2 linked regions of the Caenorhabditis elegans genome follow. The protein of the gene in region 2 purifies or fractionates together with the protein of the main gene of each other region. This does not show direct contact. Each region holds a gene or a part of one and is shown on either strand. Other genes may lie near its edges.

Evidence for each region.
Region 1: the proteins of zfp-1 (region 2) and apb-1 purify together in Caenorhabditis elegans (affinity purification with mass spectrometry, with the first as the bait; one study listed by BioGRID). This does not show direct contact.

What each region holds. Positions count from the first base shown.
Region 1 is NC_003281.10:2,592,690-2,600,558, forward strand, and holds the start of apb-1 (AP complex subunit beta), read right to left. Parts: upstream 4,346-7,869; 5' UTR 4,334-4,345; coding exon 4,297-4,333; intron 4,242-4,296; coding exon 4,000-4,241; intron 3,183-3,999; coding exon 2,789-3,182; intron 669-2,788; coding exon 1-668. Other genes in the region: mdt-19 (Mediator of RNA polymerase II transcription subunit 19), read left to right, coding at 5,372-5,462, 5,509-5,776, 6,625-6,865.
Region 2 is NC_003281.10:8,795,225-8,803,208, reverse strand, and holds the start of zfp-1 (Zinc finger protein zfp-1), read right to left. Parts: upstream 4,812-7,984; 5' UTR 4,745-4,811; intron 4,677-4,744; 5' UTR 4,655-4,676; coding exon 4,546-4,654; intron 4,351-4,545; coding exon 4,095-4,350; intron 3,815-4,094; coding exon 3,724-3,814; intron 3,677-3,723; exon of another isoform or gene 3,675-3,676; coding exon 3,564-3,674; intron 2,724-3,563; coding exon of another isoform or gene 2,508-2,723; intron 385-2,507; coding exon 1-384. Other genes in the region: F54F2.6 (uncharacterized protein), read left to right, coding at 2,508-2,723. UniProt on the Caenorhabditis elegans protein: Recruits the histone methyltransferase dot-1.1 to chromatin to methylate 'Lys-79' of histone H3 and activate transcription. Recognizes and binds histone H3 methylated at 'Lys-4' (H3K4me) at the promoters of target genes.

The DNA of each region.
Region 1 (7,869 bases), 6.2 Mb from region 2:
CCAAATCATTGAAGCCCGGGCTTCAGGCTCATCCAGCGTGTCCAGATTCTCACAGAGTGCAGAAATAATACTCTCATATCTATTCGGATATTTTCTAAAGATATCCTTAATCACAACGACGGCTTCTTGTACAACATAGTTGACTTTTGTCTGAATGAGCTCCAGCAGGGTCTGAACACATCGCTCACTACTAGCTTCAACTTTAATAGCACATCTTCCAATTGCTCTAACAGATTTCCGAACAAAATCCACATCAACCTCGGTGGCATATTCCTTGAGCTCACTGAGCACTTGAGCGATATTATTCTGTTGAGCCAGTCGAATCATAATATCCAGCTTCTCCATTTTCACATAAATCGGATCATTATATTTCACAAAGAACACCTTCATTTCTTGTTTCAAAATGTCGGGGCGTTTTTGAACGATCAAATTGATGTTTCGCAGTGCGACATATTGAATTTCGGGCTCCGCCGAGAGCAGGGTAACCATTGGTGGTGCGAGCTTCTTCGTGAGTTGGGTGATAAAGTCCGAATCTGCTGGCATCATGTCGATCAGCTTCATGAGCACTTTTACGGTGGAGAGAACGACGGCGGCGTTGGCGTGAGCCAGACGGGGAGAGATTCGCTCACAAATGTTTTGAGTTTCACGTTCGTCTCGTGGGGTGTAGCCTGGAATTTTAGATTTTTTTTTTTGGAAAAAAGCCGGAAAAAATCAACAAAAAAAAACGCTTTTTTTTAACTTTCTTAGCTTGAATTTAAAAATTTTATGGAAAATTGAGCAAAAACGCGGGAGTTTCGATGTTAAAAATTTTGAAAAATCTTTTTAAAAAAATTTAACAAAAAAACGTTTTTTCTCGAATTTTATTTTTTGAAATTAATTTGCATTTTTTAATTTTTTTAGCCTGGAATTTTAGATTTTTTTTTTGGAAAATTGAGCAAAAAGGCGGGAATTCAATGTTAAAAATCGGAAAAATCGAAAAAAAAACGATTTTTTTAAAAGAATTTAATTATTTTAAATTAATTCTTTTTTTTTCAAGTTTTTCAACTTGGAATTTAAGATTTTATGGAAAATTGAGCAAAAATGGCTGGAATTTCGAAGCTAAAAACCAAAAATATCGAAAAAAAAAACGATTTTTTTTAAAGAATTTGATTATTTGAAATTAATTTGCATTTTTAAAAATTGTTTTAGCCTGAAATTTAGGATTTTTTGGAAAATCGAAAATTTGCAAATTTCCTACAATTTTCATGCAAGCGCGATTTAGATTTTTCCTAGTAGAAGCTCGGGAGTTTTCAATTTTCCTGAAAAAAAAAATTATAAATTTGCGATTTTTCTCAAAAATCCATCAGAAAATGAAATTTTTGCAGATTTTTCTTCATTTTTTGGAAAAAATTGTTTTTACAGATGTTTGAGCCGAATTTTACAAAAAATTTAGCGTTTTGCCGCCAAATGCCTAACGAGACCTAACAGTTGGCCGTGGAGCGCACTTGCACACATCAATTTCAAAAATACGCATTTTTCTGCGTCTCTATAATAGAAAAAATGATGAAGAACTAGAATTTCGAGAGAAAAAACCAAAAAAAAATGGTGGAAATATGTAGCCTGGAATTTAAGATTTTTTGGAGTTTTTTTTTTTGCAAATTGAGCAAAAAATTAGAAATTTCTCTAGAATTTTTTATTTTTCAGGTCTAAGTTTTTAATGGAATTTTTTTTCAACTTTTGGTTTTTTGAGGAAAAAACCGGCTTATATTACTAAAACTGAGTATCAGATCAGAATTTTCATAAAGTTTCTGGAATTTTTTGTCATAGAAATACTTTGAAATATCAAAATTAAAACGTTTTGCTGTGCTTTTTAAACCTATTTTCACTATCAGTTTCGGAAAAATAAAGACTTTTCGCCGCTGAAATTCGAAAGTAGCGGTTTTTGTTGCAAATTTGGGGTTTTCTTAGAAAAAAAATACAATTTTCAAGATTTTTCATGCGAAATTCGTCAGGATCGGCAGCAAAAGAATTTGAAAACCGAAAAATCTAAATTTTGTATTTAATAGAAAATGTAAGCTAATAATTGAATTTTCTCGTTTTTTAGAAATCTCTTCAAGCTATAATTTTAAAGTGTAAAAAATCGATTTTTTTTCTGTTAAAAACTATAAAATTTCGATTTGTTTTCAGATTTTTCTCTGGATTTCAATTTTCTTTTTTTTTCCAACTGCAAATTTTCAATTTTTCTCAAAAAAAAAACTATCAGAAAATTAAATTTTTGCAGATTTTTTCTAATTTTCTAGGAAGAAAAAAAATGTTTTACTTCGAAATTTTAAAATTAAAGCGTTTTTCAGAACTATATTATTTATTTTATTGGATTTTTCTCGGTTTTGAAGCTATTTTGAATATCAATTTCGAGTTTTCGCCTCTGAAATCTGAAATTAGAGGTTTTTATTGTAAATTTGGGGTTTTCTAGGAAAAAAAAATACAATTTTCTAGCTTTTTCATGCGAAATTCGTCAGGATCGGCAGATAAAGAATTTGAAAACCGAAAAATCTTATTTATATGTAGGTTTTCTGGTTTTTTTTAATCTCTTGAAGCTGGAATTCTAAAGTGTAAAAAATCGATCGAGAAGTTTCATTAACAAAATTCGATGCTTTCAGACAATTTTGAGTCTAATAAGGCAATTTGAAAAAATTCGACTACACACCTTGAAAGCTTTTTTTAAGTTTTTTAGGTGAAAAATTGCTCAATTTTACGATTTTTTCACTTTTTTTCCACGATTTTCAACACTTTTTTGCTGAATTTTTACCTGCAAGAGCATCCAAAATGAATACTTGTCCCCATTCAGTACACTCATTCAACGCAGTCAATAGTTTATTAACCATTTGACTATTCACTTCAATTACAGTCTGTTGCTCATTCATTTCAGTCAACGCGGCAACCGCATTCGCCACAACCATCGGATTGGCATCGGAGAGTAGATCGTTGAGCAACTCAACGAATCCCTGCTCCTTCACAAGAGCCGGATTCATGTCGTGAAGCTTTGCAACACAGACTGCGGCGGTTTTTCGAACGTATGGATCCTCATCCTTCATACATCGACGGAGAGGATCACAGAGGTATTCGGTGATCTTTTCAACGCGAATACATCCCATTGTACGGACAGCAAGTGCACGGATTAGAGGATTCGGATCTTCACAGTCCTGAAAAATTAGGAAAATTATTGAAAATTTCCGAAAAATGACCGAAAAAAGCTGAAAAATCGGTTTTTTCCTGTTTTTTTCCCGGAAAATTGTCATTTTAATGATTTTTCGAGGAAAATTATGGTATTTTTGATTTAAAAAATGTTATTTTCAAGCTTTAAACGAGAAAAAACAAAAAAAAAATTCGCGCGGGGCATTTTTACAGTTTTTAAGCAAGTTTAACAGCTTTTTGAGTAAAAATGAACTGAAGGAAAAAACCCGCAAAAAATGTAATTTTCCTCTCAAAAGTGATAAAAAGTTGCTCCTCTGCAAATTTAACAGCTTTTTGGGGAAAATTTCCACTATTTTCTCAAGATTTGGATCTTCACAGTCCTGAAAAAAGTGCAAAATTATTAAAAATTTCCGAAAAACGACCGAAAAAAGCTGAAAAAATCTGGTTTGTTCTTGCTTTTCCCCGGAAAAATGCCATTTTTATAATTTTTCCCCGGTTTTACGAAAATTCGGAGAATTTTGCCGGGAAATCTGAAACGTCTGGGATAATAATGGTATTTTTAAATTTAAAATAATTTTATTTTCAAGTTTTAAATGAGAAAAAACAAAGACAATTCGCGCGGGAGTGTTTGCAGCTTTTGGGCGAATTTCTTATATATTTAAGCAAAATTTCAGCTTTTGGAGCGAATTTTCAGCATTTGAGCAAATTTTCAGCGTTTGAGCAAAATTTTCAGCTTTTTGAGCGAATTTTCAGCTTTTCGAGCAATTTTTACAACTTTTTGAGCCAATTTTCTACTTTTGAACCTTCTCAAGCTGTCTCCCCTACCTTAACAAACGTGTTAACCGCCATAATCGCGAGATCAGGCTGCGATTTCGCGTAATTCATCAAATACAGATAGACTAATTTCTTCAATTCAACATTATCCGTCTGCATACAATTCACCACATCGGGAAATAGAGCGCTGACGTCTTTTCCGACTGTCATACTGGCGATAACCTTCTTCACAGCCTCTTTTTTCTTCTCCTTTTTGTCAGAGTTGAGCTCATTTTTCAGTTCGAATATTTCTCCTGCAATAAAAATTGGAAATTTGAGTTAAATTCATTGAAAACGATATAAAAATACCTTTCTTTGTGGTGGTGAAATATTTGGAGTCGGTCATCTTGTGATACCCCTGAAAGATAAATGTGAAAAAGGGTAAAAATTCAAATTTTCGTAATAAAATCGAGGTTTCAAGGAAATTGGAGCCGCAGAAGTTGGCGGAGATGCAGAATTTTGGGCGGAAAAGAATGAAAAATCGATAAGTTGCCGTGTGCGCAAAGATTTCCGTCCCGCAAAACCTCCAAATATTGCCGAAAAGGGAGAGAGAAGGACAGAGAAAAAGGGATAAAAGTGGCCACGGAAAGTGCGCAAGCAAATCGGGGAAACGCGTCAGTGGGGAGCCTTTGCGCGTTTTTGGATTTATTTTATTTTTATTTTAATTTCTCGATTTTAAACGTTTTTTAATGTTTTTTTGAAAGAAATCGTTGATGAATCTGGTTTTTTGATACATTTTTCGCATAAAGTTGATAAAATATGAATTATTGTTATTAAAAATTTACTATTTTGACCAAAAATTATCCACAATTTGTTCGTTACACCAATTTTCATGTTTCTGGCTAATTTTTTCCGAAATATTGCATTTTCCAAGTTATTTTTGAATTCCCGCGCAAATTAAAGCAAAAGAAAAGTTAAAAAAAAAAACGAATTTCTGACCTTTTTTCACTTTTTATATAGTTTTTCGATTTTTTTTTTCCAGAAACATTCCAGTTTTCTGGAATATTTTTGAAATCCCTGTGGTCATCTTCAACTTTGCAGACTTATAATCTCTGAAACTACTGAAATTAGCCGAATATTGCGAAAAATGACTTGTTTCGAATCTAGTTTCAAACAAAAAATTTAAAAAAAGGCCTAAATCTGTACTTTTTTAGTCTTTAGAACTGAAAAAAAAAGTTTTTTTTTACCGCTGAAACCCCAAAAATTAGGCGAAATTGACTCAAAAATGTTTCAAAACAAACTTCAAACCAAAAAAAAGCTTACTTTTTCACTCAAATTCTAGGATTTTGCTGGAAAAATCCCACTTTTTTTTCAATATTTTCCCTCTTTCAATTAAATTAATTGAATTTTAAAAATCTCCCGGCTTAAAATTACAATTTCAGGCATGAACGAGCCATCGGCCTGCTCGGGGCCGCCCGTAAAGAGCAAAAGCTCGAAAAACGAGCCATTTTACACATTAAAAGCTCTACTTCCACGTGAGTTTCTTCAAAAATCTGCTCAAAACCCAATTTTTTATTCCAGCGTACAGCGAAATTCAGGGAAATCACGATCTTCTCATGTCGTACGAGCTCGGGCCTGTTGAGGGAGGATTCAGTGGTAGCAGACGAGTTAAGGAGAAAATCTCCTCGTTTTTGCCGCATATAATCGGCGAATTTCACTTGGACGCGACGAAAGAGGCGAGCTCACTGCGAGCTCTCATCGAAAAACCGCCGATTCACAAGGAAATTTCGAATTTGACGAGCTCTTCGATGCAGGGATTCAAGCTTTCTGCTGGGCCCGTCGATGAAAGGTGCAAATTCGACGATGTTCTAGATTTTTCTGATTTAAAATTGAAATTTCCCATTAATTTTGATGTTTTCCGCAAAATATTGCGGAATTTCGCTATTTTTAAACATTTCTCCCATTTTTGTAGAAATCGCTGCGAGACCCAACGGACGATAGGGACCATGCACCTTTAATTTTTGTAGATTTACTGGTGGCATTTTAAATAGTTTTAGGCCAATTTTTGCACAAAAACGGTGGAAATTCAACTGAATAAGCACAGCGCCACTCTTTCGAACATTTTAATTCAATTTCCGCAAATTTTTGAATTAATTCTGGCATTTTTGTAGTGATCGTTGCGAGACTCAACAATCAATAGAGACCATGCGCCTTTAATTTTGTAGATTTACGGAAATAATTTTTTAACAGTTTTAGCCCAATTTTTGAACGAAAACGGTGAAGTTTCGACAAAATAAGCTTATCGCCACTATTTCGAACGTTTTAATCAAATGTCCGAAATTTTTTAATTAATTCTCCTATTTTTGTAGAAATCGCTGCGAGACCCAACGGTTTTAATAGTTTTTGGTCCAATTTTTGCACGAAATCGATGAAAATTCCACAAAATAAGATTAAATATTCAATTTTACAGGTCAACACCAACATTTTAAACTTTTAAATAATTTTTCCGCTATTTTTCAGACAAATTCTTGCATTTTTGTAGTGATCGTTGTGAGACCCAACCAGCGCAAGAGACCATGCGCCTTTAATTTTGTAGATTTACGGGAGGCATTTTTAACTTCTTTTTGTCATTTTTTGCGCGAAATCGATAAAAATTCCACAAAATAAGATTAATTAATTAAAATTAAATTTTTCCAGATATCGCCACCTATTCGAGCGCCGAAAAGAGGAACCAAATCTGGCGTACAGCGAGAAATTGAATTTAATACGGGTTCGGCAACAATACGACGCATATGGATTTGATGATGATGAGACGGAGAAAGGATTTCCGAAGAAACACAAGAAAAAGAAGAAGGATAAGAAGAGAAAGAAGGAAAAAGAAGAATTAGGCGATGCGGAGAAAAGAAAAAGAGCCGCCGATGAGCCAATGGAGTTTTAGGGGGGATTTTGGGTGGGTTTAAGCTCAATTTTGAGGAAAAAAAATGAATAAAAAAGTCGTATTTATTAAAGGTGGTGTAGCGCCAGTGCCTCAATGACCGAATATCATGATAAAAAAATTCAAAAAAAATTTCTAAAATTTATATGATTTTTTTTAAATTGAAAAAATCTCAGTTTTTGCCAAATTCCGATTTGAATTTCCGTTTTATTATTTATTTATTGTTATTTTGCCTTATTTTTCACCGATTTTCCAAGTTTTCAGTGTATTTTTACATGGAATTTGAAGAAAAAGTCAAAATAAATTAAATTTTCGATTAAAAAGCATTTTTAATTCAATTTTCAGATGATTTTCGCGCGAAATTTAGGAAAAATAATTAGCAAATTATGAGAATTTCGAGTAAAATTTTAAGAAAAAAAACATAATTTTTTCAGTTGATTTTTTGAACGTAAAAGAGCTAGAAAATTTGGAAAAAATTATTGAGGATTCTTTAAAAAAATTATCGCCAAAAGTGATAAAATTGGAAAAAACCCAATTTTTTGAAGAAATCTTCTAGTTTTTGGTAAAAAAAAAAAATTTAAAAAACGCATTTATGCGATTTCGAACCTGAATTGATTAATTTCACGGATTTACGCTTTTAAAGTAGCTTTTAAACCAAAAATTTGCATCTGTTTTGACTTTTTCTTCGAATTTCTTGTAAAAATACACTGAAAACTTAGAAAATCGGTGAAAATTAAGAAAAAAAAATGAAATATTGGCGGAAATTCAAATAGGAAAGTCAAGTCAAAAACTGAGATTTTTTCAATTAAAAAAAATCATTAAAAAATTTGAAATAATTTTTTGAATTTTTTTACTATGATATTTGGTTATTGTTGTACCATAGGCATGTTTTAAAGCAATTTCCCATAAAATAAAATTATTAAATAACAGTCATTCTTGCGCGAATCGCCATTGCAATATCCTGTTTGCAGGAAGACATTAGAGCATTATGCAGTTGTCTTCGACGC
Region 2 (7,984 bases):
TGGAATCAACGGACCAGACGACGATAGTGAATTCTTGTTAATTGTCAATGGAGGCGATGGATCCTGAGCCACAGATGATCTACTTGACGTAGTCAAAGGAGGTGAGAAGGCAGTTGGTGGGGGTACAAAGATCCCCGAATTAACCGTAGATCCAGATGCAGGCCTTTCTTCGAGGGAGACCGCGTTGATTGCTGAACCGAGCCCGAGTACGTTGTTCACTTTGTTAGACTTGATAGGAAGAGGGTCCGCAAGCATATGCAACCTGGGTGCCGGCGGTGGTAGGGGCAGTGATGTCAGCAATACTGTTTTCTTTTTATCCTGCTCTTTGGAGAGCCGTTGAACAGGTGGACAAGCTGGGATGACTTTGATTGCAGGATCGTTTATCTGAAAATTTTAAGAAATATTAATTTTGAAATCAATTATAAAGTTTAAATTTCAAAACGCTTTTTAAAATGTTTAAAGTTTGGCAAGAGGATATGCTCACGATTCTTATTTTGCGCAGAGAAACCGAAGACATAGAGTATAAGAGAGTACAAAACGGAAGAGACGCAGACGATTAACAATGACCCACTTTTTTATGTTTTTCATCATCTTCTTATTCTTCTTTCTTCGTCGGCAAGGAGAAGAAGCAAAGAGAAAACGAGAAGACACTTTTGATGAAAAAAGAGATAATCGGAACGAAATGAAAAAAGATACATAAACTTCCACACCTGAACCAAGATAAATTCAAGAAATTGTGAAAATACTGGGAAGCCCTGTAAACGATAAGACAGACAAAGTAAAATGATAAGAAATCAACTTTGAAAAACGACAAAATCGGGCGATTTCTATTCTTCTCTTCTCTACATCTCTTTCACTAAAGTTATTATTGGCAGCAAGCCAACAAAACCGTGCGCCCAATGTTGTGAATGACTATGCGTATGAGAGTGTATGACCGACCACCAGCCACCCTCCACAGGCTGATTGAATGTTTCTCTCTTTCTCTCATTGTGCACGTCACTCTCTCTTCTTCTAACTGTCTTTCTCTCTTCATATCCTCATTCCTTATCGTCGTCTGATTCTCCAAGGTTTCTTCGTCTCGATTGCGCAAAAGAGACGCAGAGTCTTAAGCATTTTGCTGCTTTGGAGACATACACACATCTATGCGCGTAGAGACACGTACACACACAAAGCCTTCAGTCACAAAAATGAGAAACACACAGCAGCAGTCGCAGCCACAGCATCGCCGTCTCGGGGCCAGGCAGAGGACACCGATCATTCACCAGTCATCGAATCGACACGGCAATAGAAAGAGGGTGGAAACAAGTGAGAGCGCGGCGACACGACAAGGATGCCTAAGGCATCATTTGATCGGAAGAGTGATCAGACATGCAGACAAACATCGAAGAGTCCTCCGATCGGATGATTGCAACGGGAAAAACGAAGGGAGTGCAATCAACAGAGGCGACAGGGGTAACAAGTGAAGGATAGGAAGCGAGTAAAACCACTACCAGCACTCCGAAAAAACGAAAACTTGTGTGTGTGTGTGTGCCTGTGCGGAGGAGGAGGTGGAGAGAGAAAACGAATCGAATCGGCGACGATCCTGCGAAGGACATCAACGACGACGCGACGACAATGGCCACCGCCGGTCGACCCAGCGCCTGGGCGCCCACTTCTCCTCCTTTGCCTGCATTTGATCAGTACGATACAAAAATGTCTACCGGGTTGAGAGGTGCGCGGAAGTAAGACAACAATGAAGGATCCCATGATTGATAGACTTAGAAGTTGAAGATATTCGGAGAAGTGTAGAGACCAGCTAAAGGGAGACTTAGATATTGAAAAGAGACGGAACAAAACATTGCTCAGTGTTTTGGAAAAGTTTGTGCTGAATTTTGAAAAAAAAAACAAAAATTTGCAGCGTCCTCATTAGTAAAAAGAACTAATAAAGATTATTAGACTTTTTCAAAAAAAACTAAAGGGTTTTATGATATTTGTTACCGTTTAATTTAAATTAGGTGAATTAGAATAACATCAAAAATTTGACAACCCCCGAGAACAATCAAGACATTCAACTTAGTTGGAAACAGGCGAAGATCGTCTTAAGGTGAGGCAGGCAGGCGGTGAGGCCTATATGATAGGCCTACTTTCAAGATCAAAAGTTTAATTTAGATTTAGAAATAATTCTGTGAATGTACCAAAATGTAAAACAAAAATGTTAAATGACAAAGTCTAGAAAAAAAAAAAAAAGAACATAGAACTACTTCAGGGAGACGGAAGAGAAAATGAGTGAATGTCTCTCTTTGGCGACAAAAAAACTCCATTGACGGAAGACGATGAGAAAGGTGACATCAAACACAACGAGAAGAGGAAAGTAGGTGAGAGAGTGAGTAGAGACGTAGAGAGTTAAGCAAAAACCGTAACAAGTGAGAAAGTGGGGAGATGCAAGGATGATGTAGCAGGAAAATGTAGAGTATGACGTGGCGACGACTATATTCAAATCTATCGAGTATTCGTCGAAGAAGAACCAAATGAAGCACAAGAGAATGATGTTGCCTCACTATGTGCGTGTGTATGTATGTGTGCGTACGGACGGAGAAAACGAAAAAGCAGGACAAAGCGAGGAATACGACGATGACGATAAAGAGGAAAATAAGAAGCGCAGACGAAACAACGGCCGCCGGGGGCCACCCGAGAAAAAGAAGTCCAGAAGGGGCGGCGAAGAGCAGACGCAGAGAATCATCTAAGCTTATGAAATTGAGAGAGAGAGAGACACTCTATGCACGTCTCTTTCTCTTCCAAACTCGCTTGGCCCGACAGCAATTTGTTCCTTTTTGTGTCTATGTCTCTCCGAGTTCTTCGTCTATCTCTCTCAGTGCCCCCCCCCCCCCCGAGCACTATTTGTCGTTGTCACACTCAGTCAGCCATCCATCCAGCCAGCCGTTGGCCCAACCCATTTCATTTCGTCTAAACGTCTGTACTCTCTTCTCTCGTCTATTCCATCTTCTCAAGTGTGTTGTGTTGAATGGATGGTGTGTGTATGTGTATGTGGAAGCACGCGGACCTCCTTCGACAATGTCTCCCTCTCTCTCTCAACCTCTCTTTCGGTTTCTTTTTCTCAGGATAAAGAGATTTTAGACGCAGATATGAAAACAGGACGGAGGACGTCTCTTTCTCCATCTCTATCTCTTTCACTCTAAGAGTGAAGCGCAATGGCTGTGTTGCTATTCCAGGGTCCCAATGCTGTGACTCAGAAATAGAGTATCCTGAGAAGAGATGCAGAGAAGAAGCGGGCACACACGATTGTATTCATATTTTTACTTCTCTGAATCTCTAATACTCCGTACAATCTCTAGTTTTTCAAGAGACAGGTGTCTATCCACCTGGTCTATCAAGCATCGGACCTTCACAGCACCAGTATGACTAGGGATTAAATATTTGAAATTGATGGGTACTGTAGTTCTATTTTTATTTTCACTTCTATGAAAAACCAAGTGATAATCTGGCCTGATTTTCTTAAAATATTAAGAAATCGATTTTAATACTTTTTTCTCAATTTTTAGCGCATAAATCTTCAATAAACATACCGCTTTCTTCAAATGATTTTCACAATAACCACAATACTTGACATTCCGACTTATTGCCCCTTCTTCACATAAAAGTCCTTTCCGCTGAGCACAGGTTACGTGAAAGCTCCTCTGAAAATTTCGTTTAAATTACAAGAAATTTAAAGAAAAATAAAAATACCTTGCACGTCGACTTGTTACACGACATACATGCACCTTTTTTCGCATCATTTGGACGTTCTTCATTGCAGATGTAGCACAGTTTATTGAATCTATAAAATATATAAATTGATCGAGATAGTAATAAAACTTCAAGATTTTTTCAAAGAAAGAGTTTAAAATGTTTAGATTTTTTGTTGTTGTTTTTTTTTTGAAAGTCGAAAAATCGAAAAACTGGAAAAAAAATTTCGGTTCAGAAATGTACCGGAAATTTTTAAAATTTGAGATTTTCCAGAGAGTCAAAAAATCGAAAGTCGAAAACTCAAAAAATATTCACCCTTGATCAGACACATTTTTCATATTGAATTACCCATATTCTTGAGAAAAACTTACTTATCAGTTGGTACATCATTTAATATGACTGGTTCCATACTATGTACGTTCCCAAATCGCACTTCTGGAATGTAAAGTGCACAAATTACATGAGCCCATCCGTTTCGATCAGTTTTTTTCAATGCTCCATAGTCAAACGGACACAATTGACAACAAAATGTTGCCTCATTTATACTGCCGGGCATCATAGCTGATGCTTTCGTACATTTTGCACAAAACCATTCGCCTTCGGGTACTTCTTGAATTCCATAACATCCTGAAATGATAAAAATTCGGTGGGGCCTAATCGGAAAATTTGGTTTTTTGAGAGAAAATCGAAAAAAAAAAATCAAATTCATCTAATAAGATGGAAAAAAGCAAAACTTCAAACAATGCTTGGAAACGTTGGATTTTTTTTCGAAATATCGGGAAAAATACTAAAATTTTTCAATTTCTGTGAACTTCTACTCACCCTGATGTACTGCAACTTCACAATTCTCTCCATCACAATAGATCAATGGATTGTCTGTCCAACCATTCTCATCTGCACAAACGCAGCATCCACCTACCATCTCCTTCATTTTTCAGCAATTTCGGGGGACTCTGTAAAAATAATTATCCATTTGAGAATACAATTCACAAATTTTCCACAAAAATTCGAAAAAACTTACGATAATTTTTTTTGGGTTACTGTAGCTGGTCAAGAGGTCAGGCGTGGCTCATTTGTATGGTGATGTGCTGTAAAAATTCGGTAAAAATTACGCAGAAAAGGGGAGATTAGAGGTATATTGCCGTAAATTATTGATTTATTATGGCCGAGCGACAAATAAAGAAACAGAACAAATAGAAATAACCTAATTTCGGAGAAAAAAGAACGTTTAACAATTATCTATAATTGAATGCGTATCAAAAATAGTATTAAAGTTTCATAGAGATATTTAAATATTAGATTCGGAAAACAAAATAAATTGAAGAATGTTTTGCTTTATAAAATACACTAAAAATCCATTTGAAAATATCAAATATCAAATTACGAAACTCTTCAGAAATTCATTGAAAAATCTTTTATGGCCATTCAAAATTTTGCATAAAGGCTAATTCTTCAAAATTTAGAATTTTAGGTAAAACTGCTATAAAAAAGTTTGAGGAATTATTGAAAAGTTTCGTTATGAATTTCGGACTTTTCGGGCCAATTTGAGTGAACAAATTTTTCATTGAAAATTTAACGCCGAGCATTAGATATTTTTCTCTCAATTTTTGAAATAAAAGAAAATGGAACTGTACAAAATTTCGTCACAAAAGACAAACGGCAGCAGTCAATCAATACGACGAATAGAGGTCATTCAAAGACAAAAAATTTTTGCAGCGTCTCTCTTTTCTCTCTCCTTCTTATTATCGGGGAGCGGCCATCGATTCGATTTTCGATTCAGTCAAGTCAAAAAAGTTATGGGCGTGAATGAATGAATATACATTTAATAGTGATAATCAAATTGAGAGAACGACAGAGAATTACAGATTGTGTATGGAAGAAAAGGAAGAAGAAGAAATACACTGATAACGACGACATCGTCAGTGTCTTTCTCTCTCTCTCTCTATCTCTCTCTCGTCACCAAACCACCATCACAATCTTCCCGATTTGAAGTCTTTGACAATGAGAGAGTATTAGACACAGACAACTAGTAGCCTACAGTAGGAGAGACCGACATCACGTTCTCGTTTGGAAGAGAGGGAGAAGCAATCGAGAAGAAGAAGAAAAAGGAGGTGAAGATAGACACATACAACTTGGCATCGTGCCAAGCATGCATGAATTCTCACAGGGGCGCAGCGACGTCGGCTCTTCTATGTCACATGCACACAAGGAGCACATACATACAAACAAGAAGGGGAAGCTTTGCTCCTTTTCTCTCTAACTTTCTGCGTTCCAGTGCTTTATTTCATATAGCCGTATGTTTTAATAAAATTAGTTGAAAAGAAAATAATATACGGATCGGAAAATATAAAAATTTAAATGAAAAGAGTCATTTGGATGCTTAAAAAATCGTCCAAGGGCGAAATAAAGTTAATAAACTTTTATATTTTTCTCTAAACCTCGCCTAACATTTTCTACCACATAACCTTATAAAAATTAACATTGTATTGTCATTGAAAAATTAAATATTGAAAATTAACGGTCAAGGTGATAAATATAAATGGAAAAGTAATCAGTATCATCATAGACACAGATGTGATCGGATATACTTCGGGTATCGAGAAAAGAAAATTTACGATGGGGTACTTGCATAACACAAGAAAATCTCTACAGAGGGGTCACGAAGGATTACGATAGTCAAGAAATCATTTTATTGATTTTTTAAAACCACTTGGGGAACAGTTATAAATTTAATTTAACTAATGGTTATTGTGTGAAATAAAAATTTCTACAGAAAATTAACATCTTTAACAAAAAGTTTTTAAAATTAAAAAAAAAAATTTAAGAAGCAAGAGAATTTATTAATAGAACTTCACTGGTTTTTAAACATTTTTCAAGGCTAAAAATTCTTTTTTGATGAATCAAAAATAAATAAATAAATTTTATCGAGGATTTGTTTTCTAAATTTGACTATAAAAATTAATAATGAAAAACCATAGAAATTATATTAATTTTCCGACAATTTCCTCACTGAAGATATCTAAAAGGTGTTCATAATGACAATAAGTGTCAGAGACCAGAAAAAATTGGGTCGTCAGACTGACGATAGTAGCCGAAAGGAACAGAAAATCGGCACAAATGTCTCGGACAGCGACAACACGGTTTGTCTTTTTCTTTGTGGGGCGACAAGGCGCTGAGCACCTGACACTTGACCCATCACATATCGATCGGATTTAGACCGAATAAAGCCTCGAACAACATCGACAAAACGAGAAATGAGAATGACGACGACGTCCGTGGAAGGAAAAAAGTGGAAAAACAGAAGGAAAAACAAGACTTGACTGGGAAAAGCGAGAAGTAGATGGAGAGGCGAAAAACAAGTGTAACTTTTGATTGAGTGTGTCCCAGCTGTGGTTGAGAGTATGGATAGATGCAGACTGACTGCTGAATGCATACATACACGCGACGAGGCAAAAAGAACAGAACAGAGAGGAGAAGAGGAGGACGAGGACGAAGACGGGATGCAGCAGACCCTAGTGGGGGTCTCTCTACTACCATAGCTTCTCTATGTCTCTCATGCGAACCCCTCTTCGCGTTTCTCTATTTCTCTAACACCTCTTCAGGCTGTTCTATTTCTCTTTTGTCGTCGGGTCGCACTCGCGTATGTCCGATGTGACCGGCTATTCAACTGGCGAGGGATACGGAGACGTAGATTACTTTCGCGTCTGATCCCTCCGACTATCTATCCATCTCCCTCCCACTTCCAACACACAGCCACACACACCTCAAAAGAATCCGTCTTTCCCTCTTGGGGTCGTCTTTTCTTCATCGATTGGACATAGTAAGAGTGTTAGACTTAGAATGTAGAGGAAACTCGCGGTGTTCGATGAGCAAAAGCAGTGGGAGCAGATCCTGCTCACTTTCTCACCAACATCGTCTCTGAGTGTTGTTCATCTGGGGACCAGCGTTTCCTTTTTGAGGGTCTTTCAGTTGAAACATATTGTATTCAGTAATATTTTGAATATTCGTTTCGTTATGTGCTCTCTTAATTCGAATTAAACTTTCAGAAAATCTATTCTATTGTAAAAATGAAAAGCAGATAATTAATAAGAAATATTTCCTTTCGATTCTCTCTGATTCTTATGTTCATGTCTACATTGTATAGGAATTGACAAAAAAGATTCACTGTTTGTGGCAATTCACCAAAAAAAATCGACTTTTTCAACAGCAATTTCCAATGTTCGACGTGCCGTTTATTATATAAACGCAGGACTCAAAACTG